2 linked regions of the Arabidopsis thaliana genome follow. The protein of the gene in region 2 interacts with the protein of the main gene of each other region in a biochemical or structural test. Each region holds a gene or a part of one and is shown on either strand. Other genes may lie near its edges.

Region 1 (9,184 bases), on a different chromosome or scaffold from region 2:
TGATATCAATATCATAGTAGTGAATCAAAGAAGAATGTACATATGATTAAAGTGAGTAATTCTTGTATGAGTGGAATGGAGATATCAGATATCTTCTAAAAGTGATTTCGAATCATGGACTTGTAAAATTTTTCTTAATTTTTGACTTTTTGATGACCAATTCCTCTATTTATTTATTTATTTCCACAACCGACCAAATATTTTCAGATAATATACTCTGATGGGTCCATTGTATTTTGGGCCAAAAAGCAGTCCTCTATTTTATCAGGATCAGTGGGAATTGACTCGGTTTTGTTCTACTTGTAATGGGTTATGACAAACTGAGACCAAACCAGCCATTTTACCCCTGCATTCTTATTACAAAACGGCCAATGTTATATTGTCAACTGAAATAGTTGAGAAATACAGTTTACAAAAATTTGGCACCTAAAAAGAGATTGAAACATTCTACAAAGCGATAAAACTTTACTTTATCTTTGACCGGACAATAAATGATAGGCATTTCTAGAATTTTAGGAAAAAAATGAAAAAAAATCAAAATGTGAACGTTGATACAATAAGAAAGTCGGTGAACAAAAAAAAGATAATATAAAAGCATAATATAGACAATATAAAAATTGGTTCGACCATCCCAAACACTACGGAGGACCCAAAATATGAGCCAAGAGACAGCGATAGCAAGCTTCAAGAAATTCCAACAGTCATGGATCGAGCAGCTACGAAACCACCTGAACCACCTCCGCTCCGCCCAAAACCATCACCGGAACTCTGCTACCGGTGATGAGGAACGGTTAAGGGAGGCTGTGGACAGAGTGATGGAACACTTTAGAGAATATCACAGGGCCAAGTGGGCTGCGACGGATAAAGACGTCATCGAAGTTATGGCTTCTCCTTGGGCTTCAGCTCTTGAACGGTCGCTTCAGTGGGTCGGTGGTTGGCGACCAACCACCTTGTTCCATCTGGTTTACACTGAGTCGAGTATTTTATTTGAGTCTCGTATCGTTGATATACTTCGTGGCTTTCGCACCGGTGATCTCAGTGATCTCTCCCCTTCTCAGTTCAGGTTCTACACGAACCCCTAATTAGCTACTTTGTTTACTAATCACAACTACTAGTAAAGATTTTTTTATCTAATTTAATAAAATATCCTTAAGTTACGTTGTAATTTGATTGAAGTAATATCGTGATTTGCGCGTGTTATTGTTTACCAAAACTAATACAGGTTCACTCCTACACCTAGAGATATCAAATATGTAGATTAGTTTAGAACATACGATGTTTATTTGTTTACTTTTCTTACCAAAAATGTTTTAGAAAGTGAAAAACACATTTGAGGGATAACAATAAATTTGAGAGATTAAAACACTTATTTTACTTTCTTTTTTTTCAATGTGTAAACAATAACATATGGACTAACTAAACATATTTTGATTACTTAATATTTAATATTTAGGGTTCCATTTGTCAAAGGCAGGACGGTAAGTGAGCTACAATGTGAGACCGTGAAGGAAGAGAATGCGATAACGGAAGAGTTGTCGGAGTGGCAAGACGATGCGAGTGACCTTGTCATGGGGACATCGTCAGATCCCGACCAGAGGATCCGACGGCTAGCAGAAATCGTCCACCGAACTGATGATCTGCGACTGAGAACGATCACACGTGTGGTGGAGGTCTTGAGTCCGCTCCAACAAGCGGAGTTTCTTGTCGCTGCGGCTGAGCTTCGTACAGGCGTTGCTGGTTGGGGGACTAGCCACGACCGTCGTCGAAGTTCCGAAGTTTAAAGCTAACTAAAACCGGTCTAAAGGTAATGAGAATCGAGGAAGAAAAATAGTTTTTGGATATTAATTATATGTTTTTACCATGTTTTTGGTTATCCAGACTGAGTTTGGTTTTACATGGTTATGAAAACAAAAAAAACTCATATGTTATGTCTCTACGGTTGCAATAAAGATCAACCCACGTGTGGTGCTTGTTAGTTTACCTTTTTTAGTTAGAATTTTGTGTGTTTGATTTTTTTTATGAGGTAATTATCGGACCTTATTGGGGCTTCTGATAGTTTGTATATAAAAAATACTAAAGACAGAGAATCGGGGACATGGGTCATTGTTGGTTTCTATAGACCAAGTGGATAAACAGAAAACAAAAAGTCAGCTACAGAAAAAGACATGAAGTGAACGTGGCACTGCCATGTCTCTTGAAGACATGCAAGAGGACACTTGGTGTGGTACGCGTCCTCCTATCACGGTGTCGATTCCAAACATTTTGTTTGGTTTAGTTTTAAGATTCTTCTTCGAAAGAATCTCATTTTTAATCGAAAGATATGATGACATGACAAATTTCTTCTTACATAAATTTGCTCTTATAATGTTTATTTTCGTGTAAGTTTTATATATTTTCTAAAATATTGAACTTAAACTAGCTAGACCCTTTATAAAAATACTATCAGCCCTTTTATATAATGCTTTGGTGACAACAGAACGACAAGAAAAACTGAGAAGAGACCTAAAAACGATTATAGCGGTTTTGATTGGTTGAAGATGTGTCACAATTTTTTTTGTTTATTTCGTTTCATTTTTATTTAATATGCTAGTAAACCTGTTTTTTTTTTTTAAAACTGTATTATAAAAACGTGTCTTGTTAGGCCTTTAAAGCCCAAATAAGCCCAATGAAAGAGGAAAAGAGGAGACACTGAGATTTGGCCCAAACTAACGCATATATTTGTGTTTTACATTTATACCCCTATGACCGACATCAATTTACCGACAGACTCTACTTTCGAGAATGGCGGGAACGTGAACTGAACCCTAATCACCTTTTTTCTCGATTCCCCACCAATGGCTATATGATTACAGTAGCCCCCTTCGTGTCTCTTCGTTTCCAGTTCCCTCTTTATATAATAAATCGCTCCACTCTCTTTTTCCGAGAAAGAACACAGTATCTCGTCTACAACACCTGTCACATTTTGAGAACAACGGCGAAAACAATGCCGGTGGTTGCTGAGTACGCGAAGTCGAATCGGTCGTCGTGTAGGTCATGTTCGAACAAGATAGCTGTGAAATCGCTTAGGTTAGGGTTGATTAGCAAAGGACGTGGCGGGGTTGACATGACCAGGTGGCACCATTTCGATTGTTTTCCGACTGATTCTGAGTCGATTGCTTCCGTTGATGATATTCAAGGCTTATCCGCTTTAGAGGTTAGGGTTTCCTTACATTTCTGTATTTTGGACTCCCTAGGTTTTTTTTCGTCTAAAGCTTTTCACTTTCGGTTATTTGTGTTAACGCTTGTGCTTATGGTTACAGAAAGAAGATCAAGATGCTTTGACGAAATTGGTGGAACAATGTGGTAAAGTACCTGCAAAAAAAGTAAGACTTTGGAAAGTGATGCTCTTTAGTCTCATTTGCTCATATCTACTTTTGCCTAACTGCTTGTATCGGTTTAAACTTAAAGCAGCCTGATGAGAAGAAGGGGAAGGCTAAAAAGCATATAATGGGGCCGAAGGGGCTTACGAAGGCGGCAACATCTTCAAAAGTTATTGCTGATAATGCGAAATCGAGCAGATCATCATGCAACAGGTGTTCTCAGACAATCGTTTCAAAGGATCTGAGAGTGGGGCTGGTTACTGAAGACTCCAGGGGATTTGATATAACAAGATGGCATCACTTGGGTTGTTTTCCCATTGATTTTCATCCAATTGATTCTGTGGAGGACATTGGTGGATATTCATCGCTTGAGGTTAGTTTTTGTTTACATATTAGGAATTTTCAGTTCAGTGTATAGAGCTTTTGGATGATTGCATATGACATGTGGTAACTTCGCTAACAATATCTTTTTTATTTGATTCATTTGTCATACTCAACAGAAAGGTGACCAGATGGAATTAAAGTATTTGGCCGAAGTAAACAAGAAGGATAAAACTTTGATAGATGTACTATCCATATCCCTTGTCATAATATTATAGTCTGTTTCTGCAAATGTAGAGAACTTTACCATTTCAGGCTTTTTGAAACTAACTTCTTACTTCCTTTGCTGGCAGGATGTCCAGAAGATGGATGAAGGTGATGATGAAGCTATAGCTGATAATGAGCTAACGGAGGAGACCAAAAAAGGAAAACATTCTCCTGTTGCAAAATTGGTGGAACAACCTGGCGAGCCTGCAAAAGAAGTAAGTTCTGGAAGCAACAATCTTCTTTTATGCGAGGAAGAAATGATATGCAGACTTCAGTCTTATTTTCCAACCTAGATGTAGATTTTTGACTGAAATACTTCTTTTAACTGCTTGTATCGGTTAAGGATGAGGATGAAGAGAGTAAAAAGCCTGCATCAGATGAAATAAGTGAGCAGAAGACTAAGGATGTGAAAAATTCTCCTGATTCTTCAAAAGTTATTTCTGAGTATGCGAAATCGAGCAGATCAACATGCAAGAAGTGCTCTCAGACTATCGCTGCAAAGGAACTGAGGTTGGGGCTAGTGACCAGAAACTTCCGTGGCTTTGATATGAAACAATGGCATCACTTGGGTTGTTTTCCTGTCGACTCTGATCCAATTGTTTCGGTAGAGGACATTGGTGGATTTTCAGAACTGCAGGTTAGTCTGTATTTAAAGATTCAGGGGATAGAGCTTCTAGATTATTCATGTATCTTCTGGTAACTAGGATCATTTGAAACAGATGCTATTTGGAATATAGATGTTGGTATATAGTTAATTTATTGTCAGGTTGGCATGACATCGTTGTCAGTGTCGTGCAAAATTAACACCCAAACATGTATGTATTCCTTGTTTCTGCTAACACATCTTTATATTTGATTTATTTTTAATTATAAACAGAGTGGTGATCAGGATGCATTAAAGGAATTGGTCCAACAATGCGGGAAGCAGACTTTGGTAGATGTAATAGCAAATCCCCTTTTCATAATATTTGTTTTCTTTGGCGAAAGCATTCTGTTTAAAAGTTTTATCATGTCTTAACCAGAAAATAATTTTAGAATTTATGTCTAAACTAACTTCTTACTTCATTTCGTTGCGGGATTGCAGAAGATGGATGAAGATAATGATGACACTGAAGCTAAAATTAAGCTAACTGAGGAGACAAACAAAAGAAAACATTCTGAGGTTAATAAATAGCAATAATCACATCTTTTTATACTATAATTTTGTTAAACTGGAATATTCCTTGACCTGTAATTTATTGTTTCTTATAAAGGTTGGGGAGATGGTGGAAGAAGATGAATCGCTAACTAAAGCGAAACAACAGATGGCTAAAACACATAAGGTATACAAGCAATGATAAGTATTGAATACCTTCTAATGGTAGCCACTCTTCATTGTGGAGAAATTATACTTAATGATTTTAAAATATTGTGTTATGCAGGTGAACATGAGTGAGTCAACTTCTCAGGTCGAGGTTGAAGCAGAAATCACTCTTTCAGCGTCTGATGTGAAGGATAAGTACAGGGTAAGCACTTATAGTGTCTAGTAGGTTAAAGCCATGTATTCCTGTGTTAAATATTCTTCTTGGAGTTTGTAGCTTTGGCATTTGATCCCTTTTTCGAGTTCTTTTATTTTTCTGGCTGCTAATCTTCTTGTTTCTCAGGATGCCAATCTATTACCAAAATGGAAAGCTTTTGAGACAGTTATATTCCTTGAGCGGGTGAGAAATCATCTTCAGATATGATGTACATGATGGTAATATATTATGGCCTAATGGTATGTTCCTTTGTTGCATTTTAACAGGATGATGGTCTTAATGATTCAGAAAAAATAGCTGCATTTGACTTTGATGGATGCCTTGCAAAAACATCTGTGAAAATGTAAGTAGCTCTTTGGTCACCCATAATATTAGTGTGTTCTCTGTTTTTATGGACATATGGGCTTTTCATTCTATCTCAAGTGATTGCATTTCTGCAATTTTTGTTTATCCTTTTAATGGTGTTATGCACGAACCTCGTCTTTCAAGGAAAATGAGAAACATTGTAATGTGTCATAATGTTTTATATTCCCTTCTTTCTCAGAGTAGGGGCAGATGCATGGTCCCTAATGTATCCTTCCATTCCTGAGAAACTGCAAAGTCTGCACGATCAAGGCTATAAGCTGGTATTTTATTTTCAGCTAGAATTAAGTCTTAGGTACTCAATAGTATTGTTTATATAGATTATAGAGTAGCTGATTTTAAATGTTCAACAGGTCATTTTCACAAATGAATCCAACATTGATCGATGGAAGAACAAGCGGCAAGCTGCTGTAGATTCGAAAATTGGACGGCTCAACAGTTTTATCGAGCGCGTGAAGGTCCCCATTCAGGTTAAGTGCTCTTCCGTTTTCATAAGTAAGAACGTGATTGTATCTATTCAAGAACACTGTGTCAACAAACCCTAGCTATTATTATGAGTAATGATAAGAAACTATGATGTATTCAATGCCTTGTTCTGTACTTAGTTCATATGGCTTTAATGATTTGTTCCGGCGTATAGGTATAATCAGAGAGAAAATAGTGATTCTGTCTTGCTTGTTCTTATTAGTTAACACCCCAAATTTTCAAAGTCTTAAAAGTGCCAATTCCCTACATTGTTGCTGATACTGTGAAGATTATAAATGGTTTTGTTCTGCAAACAGGTGTTTATAGCCTGTGGAGTCTCAAGTTCTGGTGGTAAAGGTGGTAAAGATGACCTTTACCGCAAACCCAAGGCTGGAATGTGGCAACTCATGAAGAAGCATTTTAACTCTGGAATTGCAATTGATATGGATAAGTTAGTTTTCTCCCCACCTGCTCCTAAAAACTTGAATTTACCTGAAACTTCTAGCAATGCTGGAAGATTACACTCATTTGTCCACCAGCCTTACTGATTAAACACTCCGTTTAAGTCCACTAGCACATTTTTTGTTGTTGATACTGACATCTGTGCTATGCTCATCAGATCCTTCTACGTTGGGGATGCAGCTGGAAGAAAAATGGATCACAGCGACGCTGACATCAAATTTGCACAGGTATTTATTGCAAACGTCAGACAATACCCATCCTTTATTTTATAAGTCACCCTATTTACTTTTCTGACTTTCCTCATAGACAACTACTTTCTTTGGTTGCAGGCGAGTGGGCTAAAGTTTTTTACCCCGGAGGAATACTTTATCCCCTCAAGTACATCGCCAGGGACTTAGCTGTATCAGTCTTGTGCTTGTGTTTGCAGTTTGCAACTTCTTTTGCTTTTTTTTTTGTGATGAAACTAGTAGCTAGCTTTTGTGATAAAACTAGTAGTGTGCTTTTGTGATCAAAGTATTAGTATGTGTTTTAACTCTTTTTGTATATTACTGATATTTAAGCGTCAACTAGAGCTTATTGAACCAGGAAAAAGAAACTCCTTTGAACAGGCAGGATTGCAAAGTCAACATAACAAACCACTGATAACAAAAAAAGTTCAAATTTCCGACTCATTTACATACATGGGATTGGGAAAGTTTAAAATCTCTTATGATGCTAATAACATACATCAAAAATTCACTCTCCTTTTCACTCTTTAATCAGAAGACTCAGACATGAAATCACTCCTTCTGACCAATCTCGCCTTCCAAAATGGCGTGTCTTGTCAGAACAATCTCTTTGACAAGGTTTCTGTAAACAAAGGGCCTAACAGCAGCACGGAGAAAGAGCTCAGGTGGAATCCTACTCTTCTTTATCTTCTTCATCCACCTTCCATATCCTACTGTCTTCCATTCTTCTGGCTTCACTTTTGCCTTCTTACCTCTCATTTCCAACTCATCTCCTTCAATCTCTCCCTTTTCTCGTTCCTCCAATGCCTTTAACTGCTTCTCATAAAACTTATCTGACACCACCATACTCATCTCCGCAAGCTTCTCCATCCGCTCCGCATTGTTTGTCGCTTTGTTGAATTGCTCTTCCCAGTACCTCTCATCCTCTTCCGGATCCGACTCCTCTATTTCATCTTCCAAACTGTCTTCTTCAACGTTTCCCTCCACATCGACAACCATGTTATCATCATCATCTACTTCTTCCACCTCACCATCATCATCATCATCATCATCATCATCATCGTCATTGTCAGCTTCATCTTCAATCCATTCTGAGAACTCAGCCTTCTCTGAGCTTCCACTAATGCTAATCTCATCCTCATCTTCATCTGGAGCATCACACCCTAACTCCATCTCCTCCAACTTTGCTTTCCATTCTTTTGTATACGGATGCAACAGCTCGTTCGGGTGGTTTCCAAGCAAGAACTTCAACACTCTGGACTTCTTTTCATCACTCAACTTCTCATAAGCATTCACCACATCATCCACGAAAGCTGTCTGTCTCACCTTCAACATCTTACACAATCCTCCGTAATAAGTACTCAACTCCACTCTACCTTCATCATCCTCCACTTCACACACAAATCCAGATTCCGTCACCGGGTTTAAATAAGGGATAAGCGAGTTAAAGAAATCTTCTTGAGGCTCAAACCTACACTGAAACACAGGCTTCTTCACATACACAATATCAGGTCTAAACCAAGCCGCACATTGACATATCAAAGACCGAGACTTGTTCCCTAATCTCCCCATCAAATTCCACTTATCCAACCTCTGCTTCTTATCCGCTTCCACAACCACTTCACTAACCAACGTCCATTGCTCCCACGGTAACTCACTGAGTCTCCATTTCGGATGCCTGACAAACACCCAAAAATACCTCAAACCAACATTCGAATCCAACTCCTTAACCCTCTTCTGAAAAGCTATATTCATCTCATGCTGCTCAATCTTCTCAAACTCTTCATGATTCTCCACTTCACCAATCATAGTAACACACTCATCAGAGATAGTACCACGAACCGGATCACCAACCACAACACCACGCCACGAGTAAGGTCCAAACTCTCCATACTTGAACCAATCATAAGGATGACGCAATCTCGGGTCATCCTTATCCATAAACCGAACCATCCTATCGTAACCAAGCCCAATCATCTCAAGCTCCTCCTCAGTAAACTTATCCGGATGACTACTGAGAATCTGACTCCGACTCTTGTCAGGGTTATTATACAATCTATAAAACAAAGATTCCGCTAGCTTCTTCGACTTTTCACGAGCATTCCTCTTCACCTGCTTCCTCATATCCGAATCTCCTTCTATCCTTCCACCAGATGAACCTCCTCCAAGCTTTTTCTTGCTCCTCCCGGCCAATGCCCGCACG
Region 2 (8,019 bases):
TCACATCGCATGTTTAAGACAAAGTAAAAACTGAGAAAGAAAGAGAGGGAATCGGAACATACGACGATGAGCTTGAAGAGGTTGGCCTCCTTAGGAGGAAGCGAAGCCCCCATTTTATTGCGCTACTGAGAGAGCTCGCGAAGACGAAGACGGAGAAGAAGAAGAAGAAGATGTTCTTCGCGAGTTCGATAGGGTGAGAGAGAGATAGAGGTGGCGTACTATCCGCTTCAACCCTACTGCGAAACAAAGAAAGGCACAACTCTCACAAGACAAAACCCAATAAGGGTATAAATAAATTAGGGTCTTGTCTTCAATCAATCTTCTTCGATCCTAACCATATCGGTACATGTTTCCGGTTTCAATTCGTTTGTCTGATATTACAAAACGGTTATTAAATTGGATAGAACCAAACCGGTTCAAAACTGGAGACATCTGAACCTAATTGACCAAATCAAATTTGTATTAACCGATCAAATTCATCGTCAATCGACACTAAAAAGTATCAAATCAAACCGACTTATTAATTGCAACCGATTACATCTCTCAATCGAATCCAAACCAGCATAAATAAATTCTAATTAGAAACATTCTTTCCGAACCAAGCAGACCGGATTATTTCAAATTTTTATCAGTAATAACATCCTACTCAAACCGAACAAACCGAGTATAACAAGAATTCTTGGAATTCCTTAAGAGATCATATGCAAAATGAAACAAGTTTGATCTAAAGACACTCTAAAGAAACGTTCCTATAAGCAAGTTCGATCTCTTCTTCAGTCATCTCAACGGTCATATCACTGTCATAGCCACAAGCAACCCGAGAGGTCGATTCATCTTCGCCCGGTTTTGCTAGCTCAGCTTCGTAGATCTTTTTCCACGACTTTGCTTGTTTGCAAACTTCTTCCTTTGATGCTGTTGAATTTTCCTTTTTAGAAGACGATTCCATCTTTCCAAGCTCCTTCACTACACGAGGGACAAAGCTCCATAGCTCTGTAACTGATCCAATGTCCTAAAATTAAGAACATTCGAGAATAAATTCAACCAATGATCTTCTCAAAGAAACTGATCAAAGTTTAACAAATCCAAAAATGTACACAGGCGGCAACTATTATTGTTCAGACTTCAGAGATATTAACCTGCTTCTGTTCAAGAGAATCTATGGCGTCTTGTAAGCAGGTTAAGACTCCTTCCGCAGCTATTCGCTTGATTTCGCCTGGTTCTGGCTGTTACAATGGCTTTAGAATAACGGAAACATACAATCAAGAAAACATGTCTTTTGAAAGAGCATATTAATTCCCTTACTTTTTCCTCCTGACTCTCAAGCCATGAGATGGTTTGACTTAGGTCATCCCTGGCCCATTTCTTCACCTCTGTAACAAAAAATGGCTCTTTCACAAGATTGCAAGCTGATCTATTCTGTGAACATATGGAAATAAACAGTCATAGACCATTGATTGGAGCAAAATACGGTTCGTTTTGGTTAACCAAATCATCAGATTTAAACATGCCTTGGATGAGGTAGATGGTGTTCCCCTTGTTTCTGTTTTTTTCTCTACTTGCTTCTCTGGTTTTTTAGACAGGTGTTCTCTCTTTTCTGAATACAATCAATTAAGGTTCACAGAGTCAACTAAACATCGGAGTGAAGCAGTGCAATAAGAAAAGCTTTTCTCTTGTCATAAACGTAAAAACAAGGTGATTTGATGAACCTCAGGATGGTTAAAACGGAGATTCTATCTAAAGCCTTTCCAATATAATTCTTTTTACCTCGATTAGCATCTTGGGGACTACTGCTTTTCCTCCATGGTTTTCCAGCATGCATAAGGTATTGCTCGATATCTACCAACTTCTTCTGCGCATAACACTCAGTTATCCACTCCTGGAGACAGTGAAATCATATAAAATATCAGCAAAAAGGAGAAATTCAAATCCGCACACAATCCCTTATAAGAAGAGTCAAAGAGGTAACCTTTGAGATAATTGTTCCACCATTTGTTTCAACTTGACGGAACTTTGGAGTGTTAGGAAAAGCACAAATCAACAAGGTAGAGCCAGCGTTCCAGTCAGGTTGATAGGTGGCTCCCATTGTCAAGGCTTGTGACCTCAGTGTACTCCTCTCAGGATTAACAAAGCCCGAAAGTACAAAAACAACGCCTTCCTGCATAGTTTAACCTTCAACTCAATCACAAAAGCATATAAACTAACATGACAGCTTAAGATAATTGAGTCTCAACAAGACCATGAAGACACACACAAACCATAAGTTTAGAGAATTCAGTGGTATTTGAACTTGGCTCGGCGTGTTCTGACTTGTTGGAAGGGGCATTTCTACTGTTGTGCTCTTCGGTTGGTCCTTCATCCTTAGGCTTCTTACAATGAGACTTACTCGGAGTAATCTCGGGATCCCTAGAACTCATCCAAGAAGGAAGATTTCGCTTCTGAGACATCTTGTCCTTTACAGTGGAGAGAATACTAACACAGCTTTCGTCCTACAAAGAAACACTATTATGAACCTAAGCCACTAGTTACTTGAAACTCCAGGAAAATATTGCTATTGCATCGCATCTAGCACAACACAAAGCCAGAGAGAAAACGGTGCAAATCTGCAAAAAATGTAAAACATTCCCTAAGAAAGACAAATCTTAATACAAACGAATGGTATAACCTTTTTTCAATTTCAACATAAAAAAATCAATGGACAATGGTTTTAACATAACTCAGTAGCACTGAATTTGAATTCGAGTTCAGATCAAATCACACTGGAAAATTGGAATTGAATACCAAAAAAAAAAAAAAAAAAAAAAAGAAGAAAGACATTGCAATTAACAGAACATCGCGAACTTCGCCATAAAACCCTCGAAAACTAAATCTACCCATGTAAATGAGCCAACACAGAGGAGAAGACTATAAACTTGAGAAGAAAGCGAGGAACCTTTAAGTGCTAGCGCTCCCCCCGTGGCTTCTCTTTGATCGAAATCATCAGAGACTATTCAATTTGTCAACATACAGTACAAAATCAGATCAAAATGACGGGTTTTCAATTTAACAAATGATTCAACTAGCAAAGGTGGACGTGCCGGAGTGGTTATCGGGCATGACTAGAAATCATGTGGGCTTTGCCCGCGCAGGTTCGAATCCTGCCGTTCACGCTTTTTTTTACCAATTTTTTGCTTTGACTCTTTCATTCGCGTTTTTACTCTTCTGCCCTTTTTTCTTTTTTTTTGGACATCAACTTGTCTGCCCTTTTAGGATTTCTAATGTTTCATTTTTACGGTGGAGGGGGTTTATGAATTAAAAGAAGTACAAAACCAAGGTCAAATTACCATTACTAAATCATTCCTCGTTTCAATCTTTTTTTCCTAAGTTAGCTCAGTCAAATCCTTCGTATACCTACAATGAGCTCGATGAATTAGACTTAATGCACTGGAGAAGCTAAAGCTTGCAAGGGGAGGAAACATCCTATTTCTTCTGAAATATATCGTATGCTTGTCCATATCATTGATGTCATGATGTGTCATGTCTCATATTCTCGTAACATCCGCAACACAAACCCATCATATATGCTTTTATCTTATCTTTCTCTCGTTGTGTTGTTGTTTTTGCTACAACACAATTCCAGGACTAAGTTTCTGAATATCAATGAGTCTAAACATGTCAAAATTAAACTACGTCTTCACTTTGTCTTTAACGTACCTTTCTTTGATGAAAAAATGAAAAAAAAGTTATAAAAAAAATAACGTACCCTTCTTTAACCGCAAACTGTTTTTGGACTTTTGAACCCATTTCCGAAATTTCAGGGCTTCTTTTCTTCAAAGTTACGTAGTACGTACTAATAATAAGCCATCGTCACGACTCACGTGGTTACTAAATAAGATATGCTTATAAAAGGATTCAATATATTCAATGGCTTTGGCACGTTCTGTCCTCGCTTGACTTAAGCCATGTTAATTTGACCGTTGTGTTGTCGTTGGTCTGTTCGACGCTATCAATATAAAAAAATGTGTTTTATTAGCTAAATTCAGTTGATTTATCATACTCTGTGCTTTCCCTCTCGCTCACTTTATATATATCGAAGAGTATTGAATCATCTTGATTTTCTTATTTCATTACCATTCAACATTAAATCATGTTGTCAAAATTTATTTCCAAAAAATGACATGAAACCTCGAGCAAACCCTTAAAAAAAAAAAGGTAGATAAGTTGATGTTAGTATATGATGATGAGGATGAATGAAAATAGATATTCCGCGCACTTATAAAAAAAGAAATACAATTACTGGCAGTAGAAGATACGAAGTCCACATCAGCTACCGGATAACTATCATAATGGATATGGAAAAGGACGTAAAAATAAATACCAAAGGAAACTTCATGAGCTTATCCTGTCTGTATGTACGAGAGCTGTTTTATTTGATGTCGACCGCATGAATATCCAAATGATCTATTGCATGTCTTCGTAACAATTTGATCCCTACCATTAATTAATATGCAAAATAATAATGCATATATGATGAAGACGTCGAGTGCCTAATAGAAAGATGCGGCGAGTCAAACTATCTTTTGAGACATATATACTGTTTAGCTATATATCTTTTCAAATGAACATTTTCCTATGTAATTGGCCAGCGTTTTCTGCGGTGCCAAAGCTCATATTCTCTCGATCATCTAACTGTAAACCTTATTACTTAGCTCTGGCAGATGTTATTATCTTTGCCGGTTTGCTTCGAGGCTTTGTGCTTCTAATTTAATCAAGTGTCGACATAATTGGAAAAAAAAACGAGTAAAATGCAAATAAATAACGATCACATATATAAAGAAGTAATTAAACTCTTTTGGCTAGTTATTTCGTGTGTTCTTCGTTTTTTTCCAATTTGCTTGGCGAATTTTCTTGTGAAGAAAATACTTGTTAAGAGATTTGAATAATTGAACGCGACCAAAGAAGAGTATGAGAATTGAAAATATCGACACGAACATTGATGAAGTGGGTCCAACACTCCCAGTACCAGTCTATTCGGGCTATTCCTATCTACGAAGAATCGGATTGCTTCCGTCGTTTATTGTTTAGATTTATCAAAGAGCCAGCCACCCGACGAATCACGACGACTCTTCTTCCCCCCTTTAAGGATGTTGACACCGTGTCGTTTTGTCACCTTATAGAGTTATAGTCATTCAGACGCCGTGCCGTTTTATCAGTTAGAGTTATTTTCTTCATGTTGAACCTTTTTTTGTCAGCCCGTTTTATCCCACGTTGAAGTTTCAATTAGCTTATTTTAAAAAATATTAGATCGGAGTATCTTTTGTCTAATTAACCAAAACTCCAAGTTACTACATTTATATGCAAATACATGAATGGGTCATAGTAATCACAAAACTATTGTTTTAATAAACCAAATATATGCGTTAAAGATGTTTACAGCTTTATACATATGGCGGACACTAGAACTAGTCCAACCTGCATGGAACATGCTACTAATTCCCTAAATATTGTATTATTCCGTATTCAATTTTGTACAGCTACGAAAAATAGAGTATTGTACATAAATGTCCATACGTTACAGATTAAATTAGTAAGCAAAAATGCTTTGATTAACGAGTATACGCTTTTGAGTACGGAGACAACATTTCGTTTCTTTATGTCACACGCGTTAAGAAGTTTAATAAAGATCATATATAATTACGACAAATATCTGTATATATTGTAGCTATATTTATAAAAACATATAACTTTGGTCATCGGTAATAGTTTAAAGATGTCGAGTATCAATACAGATTTAAATATGGCCGACCAAAGATAGACACACACATACAGACAACAACAAGCCAAATAAGAATCAAATAAATTTTTGTCAAAAAAAAGGGAAATTCTACAAGTGAAATTAGAGAAATTATCTAGAAGGATTTTAGAGGAAAGACTCCAAGGCATTAGTCTTTGAGCTGGATTTGGATTTCATTTTAATAAAACATAAATTAATCTTTAAACGCTATTATGTGCTTGGATTATGTACCACATAATGCGAAGGAAACATCTTTGTAGTTTTGCGTTCTTCATATAATAATATTTTGCCGTCGTGTATGTGTAGTATACATATATTCATCACTTTAGTATACAAGTTGCCACAAAGTTCTGTTGTTTATAATAAAACCAAAAAAAAAGAACAAGTTCTGTTGTTTATAATAAAACCAAAAAAAAAAAAAACAAGTTCTGTTGTTTGGAATTAGGAGATCGATTTAAATTTTTACAAAGCAAAAGGGTGTGTGTGGTCCGATTAATATTTTAGTATATGAGAAAAAGAAAGGGTGTGATCTAAATTATAGATTCAGAAGGTCCATTCAAAAAGTACAGTCTTTTATGTGTAGGTTTTAAGTTTTTTCATTATTCTTAAACGAACAAATGATAGATTAATTTTATTCTGTTTTTTGTTGTGCGCACTAGTAAGTGTATACTCTATAGCATTAGATAGAAAACAGAGTAACATGTCAAAACAACATCCAAAATCTAAAATCAGTATTAGTCGAAAGGCCTAATTCGATATTCGGTAGTATATTTTACCGTCTATGTTTAGATATATAATCTGTTGTTGACTGGAATTCGAATGCTAAATTACTAAACCTGACCAGAAAAATATCAGGAGAAAATGAACTTGGATATGACATCCATCAACTTGTCCCAATTGGTCCAAAGTCTCCATCTTTAAATACAAGACACAACCATTAACCGTTTTTGCCCATACTAACTCAAATTCCGTTATCTTCATTTTATTTGATTTAAACTATAAAATATACAACACAAAAATTATATTAAAAAAAGAAAGAAACGATGAATGAATCAACAAGTTTTCTAGAAACACTTATCTTCAAATATCTATAAAGCGGCACACTCTCCTCTTTCCCATCATCATCATCATCTTCTTCAACCTTGTCTCGATCCAAAATTTCATCTTTTACCAAAACTATTACAATATCCCTCACTCTACTTGTAAAGCTTCAATCTTCTTCACTTCTCAACAAACAGATAAACAAAAAGCTTCAATCTTTGATACTTTCTCGATGGAACTTATCCCCAATCTTCCCGACGACGTTGCTCGCGAGTGTCTCCTTCGCTCCTCCTACCAACAGTTCCCTGTCATCGCCTCCGTTTGCAGAGCCTGGAACCGTGAAGTCTCTCTCTCTCAGTTTTTACATCAGCGAAAAGCTTCACGCCATAGCCAAGAGCTTCTTATTCTGTCTCAGGCTCGTGTCGACCCCGCTGGATCCGGAAAGATCATCGCTACGCCTGAATACCGGATCTCTGTTCTCGAATCCGGGTCGGGTCTTTGGACGGAGCTTCCTCCGATTCCTGGTCAAACCAAAGGACTTCCTCTGTTCTGCAGATTGGTTTCCGTTGGATCCGATCTTATTGTCTTGGGTGGGCTTGACCCGATTACGTGGCAGGCCCATGATTCGGTATTCGTCTTCAGTTTTCTCACTTCCAAATGGCGCGTGGGGGCAACCATGCCAGGTGTACGGAGGTCCTTCTTCGGATGCGCTTCGGATTCGGATCGGACGGTGCTGGTTGCGGGTGGACACAACGAAGAGAAATGTGCGCTTACGTCAGCTATGGTGTATGACGTGTCAGAAGACAAGTGGACGTTTTTGCCGGATATGGCGCGGGAACGAGACGAGTGCAAAGCGGTATTCCATGCTGGCAGATTCCACGTCATCGGTGGATATGCCACTGAGGAACAGGGGCAGTTTAGTAAAACAGCCGAATCGTTCGATGTGTCTACGTGGGAGTGGGGTCCACTTACGGAGGACTTCCTCGACGACACCGGCGATACCGTTAGCCCTCCGACCTGCGTCGCCGGTGGGGATTTGTACGCGTGCTGGGGTGGCGATGTGATGATGTTTCTAAATGACAAGTGGCAAAAGGTGGGCCAGATCCCTGCTGATGTGTACAATGTTACTTACGTAGCGGTGAGGCCCGGGATGCTGATTGTGATCGGCAACGGGAAGGCGTTGGCTGGATACGGTGAAGCCACCGTAG

What was found. The genes of interacting proteins can lie anywhere in the genome.
Region 1: the proteins of ATXRCC1 (region 2) and AT3G14890 form a complex in vitro, tested with the Arabidopsis thaliana proteins (one study listed by BioGRID).

Annotation. Positions count from the first base shown.
Region 1 is NC_003074.8:5,005,909-5,015,092, forward strand, and holds AT3G14890 (phosphoesterase), read left to right. Parts: upstream 1-2,767; 5' UTR 2,768-2,842; coding exon 2,843-3,193; intron 3,194-3,299; coding exon 3,300-3,362; intron 3,363-3,450; coding exon 3,451-3,732; intron 3,733-3,859; coding exon 3,860-3,925; intron 3,926-4,033; coding exon 4,034-4,162; intron 4,163-4,290; coding exon 4,291-4,584; intron 4,585-4,824; coding exon 4,825-4,887; intron 4,888-5,031; coding exon 5,032-5,109; intron 5,110-5,200; coding exon 5,201-5,269; intron 5,270-5,368; coding exon 5,369-5,452; intron 5,453-5,590; coding exon 5,591-5,647; intron 5,648-5,730; coding exon 5,731-5,807; intron 5,808-6,008; coding exon 6,009-6,090; intron 6,091-6,180; coding exon 6,181-6,297; intron 6,298-6,609; coding exon 6,610-6,743; intron 6,744-6,911; coding exon 6,912-6,981; intron 6,982-7,083; coding exon 7,084-7,152; 3' UTR 7,153-7,357; downstream 7,358-9,184. Other genes in the region: AT3G14880 (transcription factor-like protein), read left to right, coding at 657-1,063, 1,454-1,781; EMB3120 (uncharacterized protein), read right to left, coding at 7,534-9,184. UniProt on the Arabidopsis thaliana protein: Nick-sensing 3'-phosphoesterase involved in a base excision repair pathway required for active DNA demethylation. The N-terminal DNA-binding domain binds specifically to gap sites and sharply bends the target DNA.
Region 2 is NC_003070.9:30,234,720-30,242,738, forward strand, and holds ATXRCC1 (BRCT domain-containing DNA repair protein), read right to left. Parts: upstream 3,817-8,019; 5' UTR 3,740-3,816; intron 3,147-3,739; exon of another isoform or gene 3,065-3,146; intron 3,053-3,064; exon of another isoform or gene 2,984-3,052; 5' UTR 2,930-2,983; exon of another isoform or gene 2,487-2,929; 5' UTR 2,445-2,486; coding exon 2,256-2,444; intron 2,156-2,255; coding exon 1,967-2,155; intron 1,877-1,966; coding exon 1,765-1,876; intron 1,670-1,764; coding exon of another isoform or gene 1,620-1,669; intron 1,595-1,619; coding exon 1,509-1,594; intron 1,417-1,508; coding exon 1,303-1,416; intron 1,224-1,302; coding exon 1,137-1,223; intron 1,010-1,136; coding exon 725-1,009; 3' UTR 501-724; downstream 1-500. Other genes in the region: EMB2753 (tetratricopeptide repeat (TPR)-containing protein), read right to left, coding at 63-113; AT1G80440 (Galactose oxidase/kelch repeat superfamily protein), read left to right, coding at 7,044-8,019. UniProt on the Arabidopsis thaliana protein: Corrects defective DNA strand-break repair and sister chromatid exchange following treatment with ionizing radiation and alkylating agents.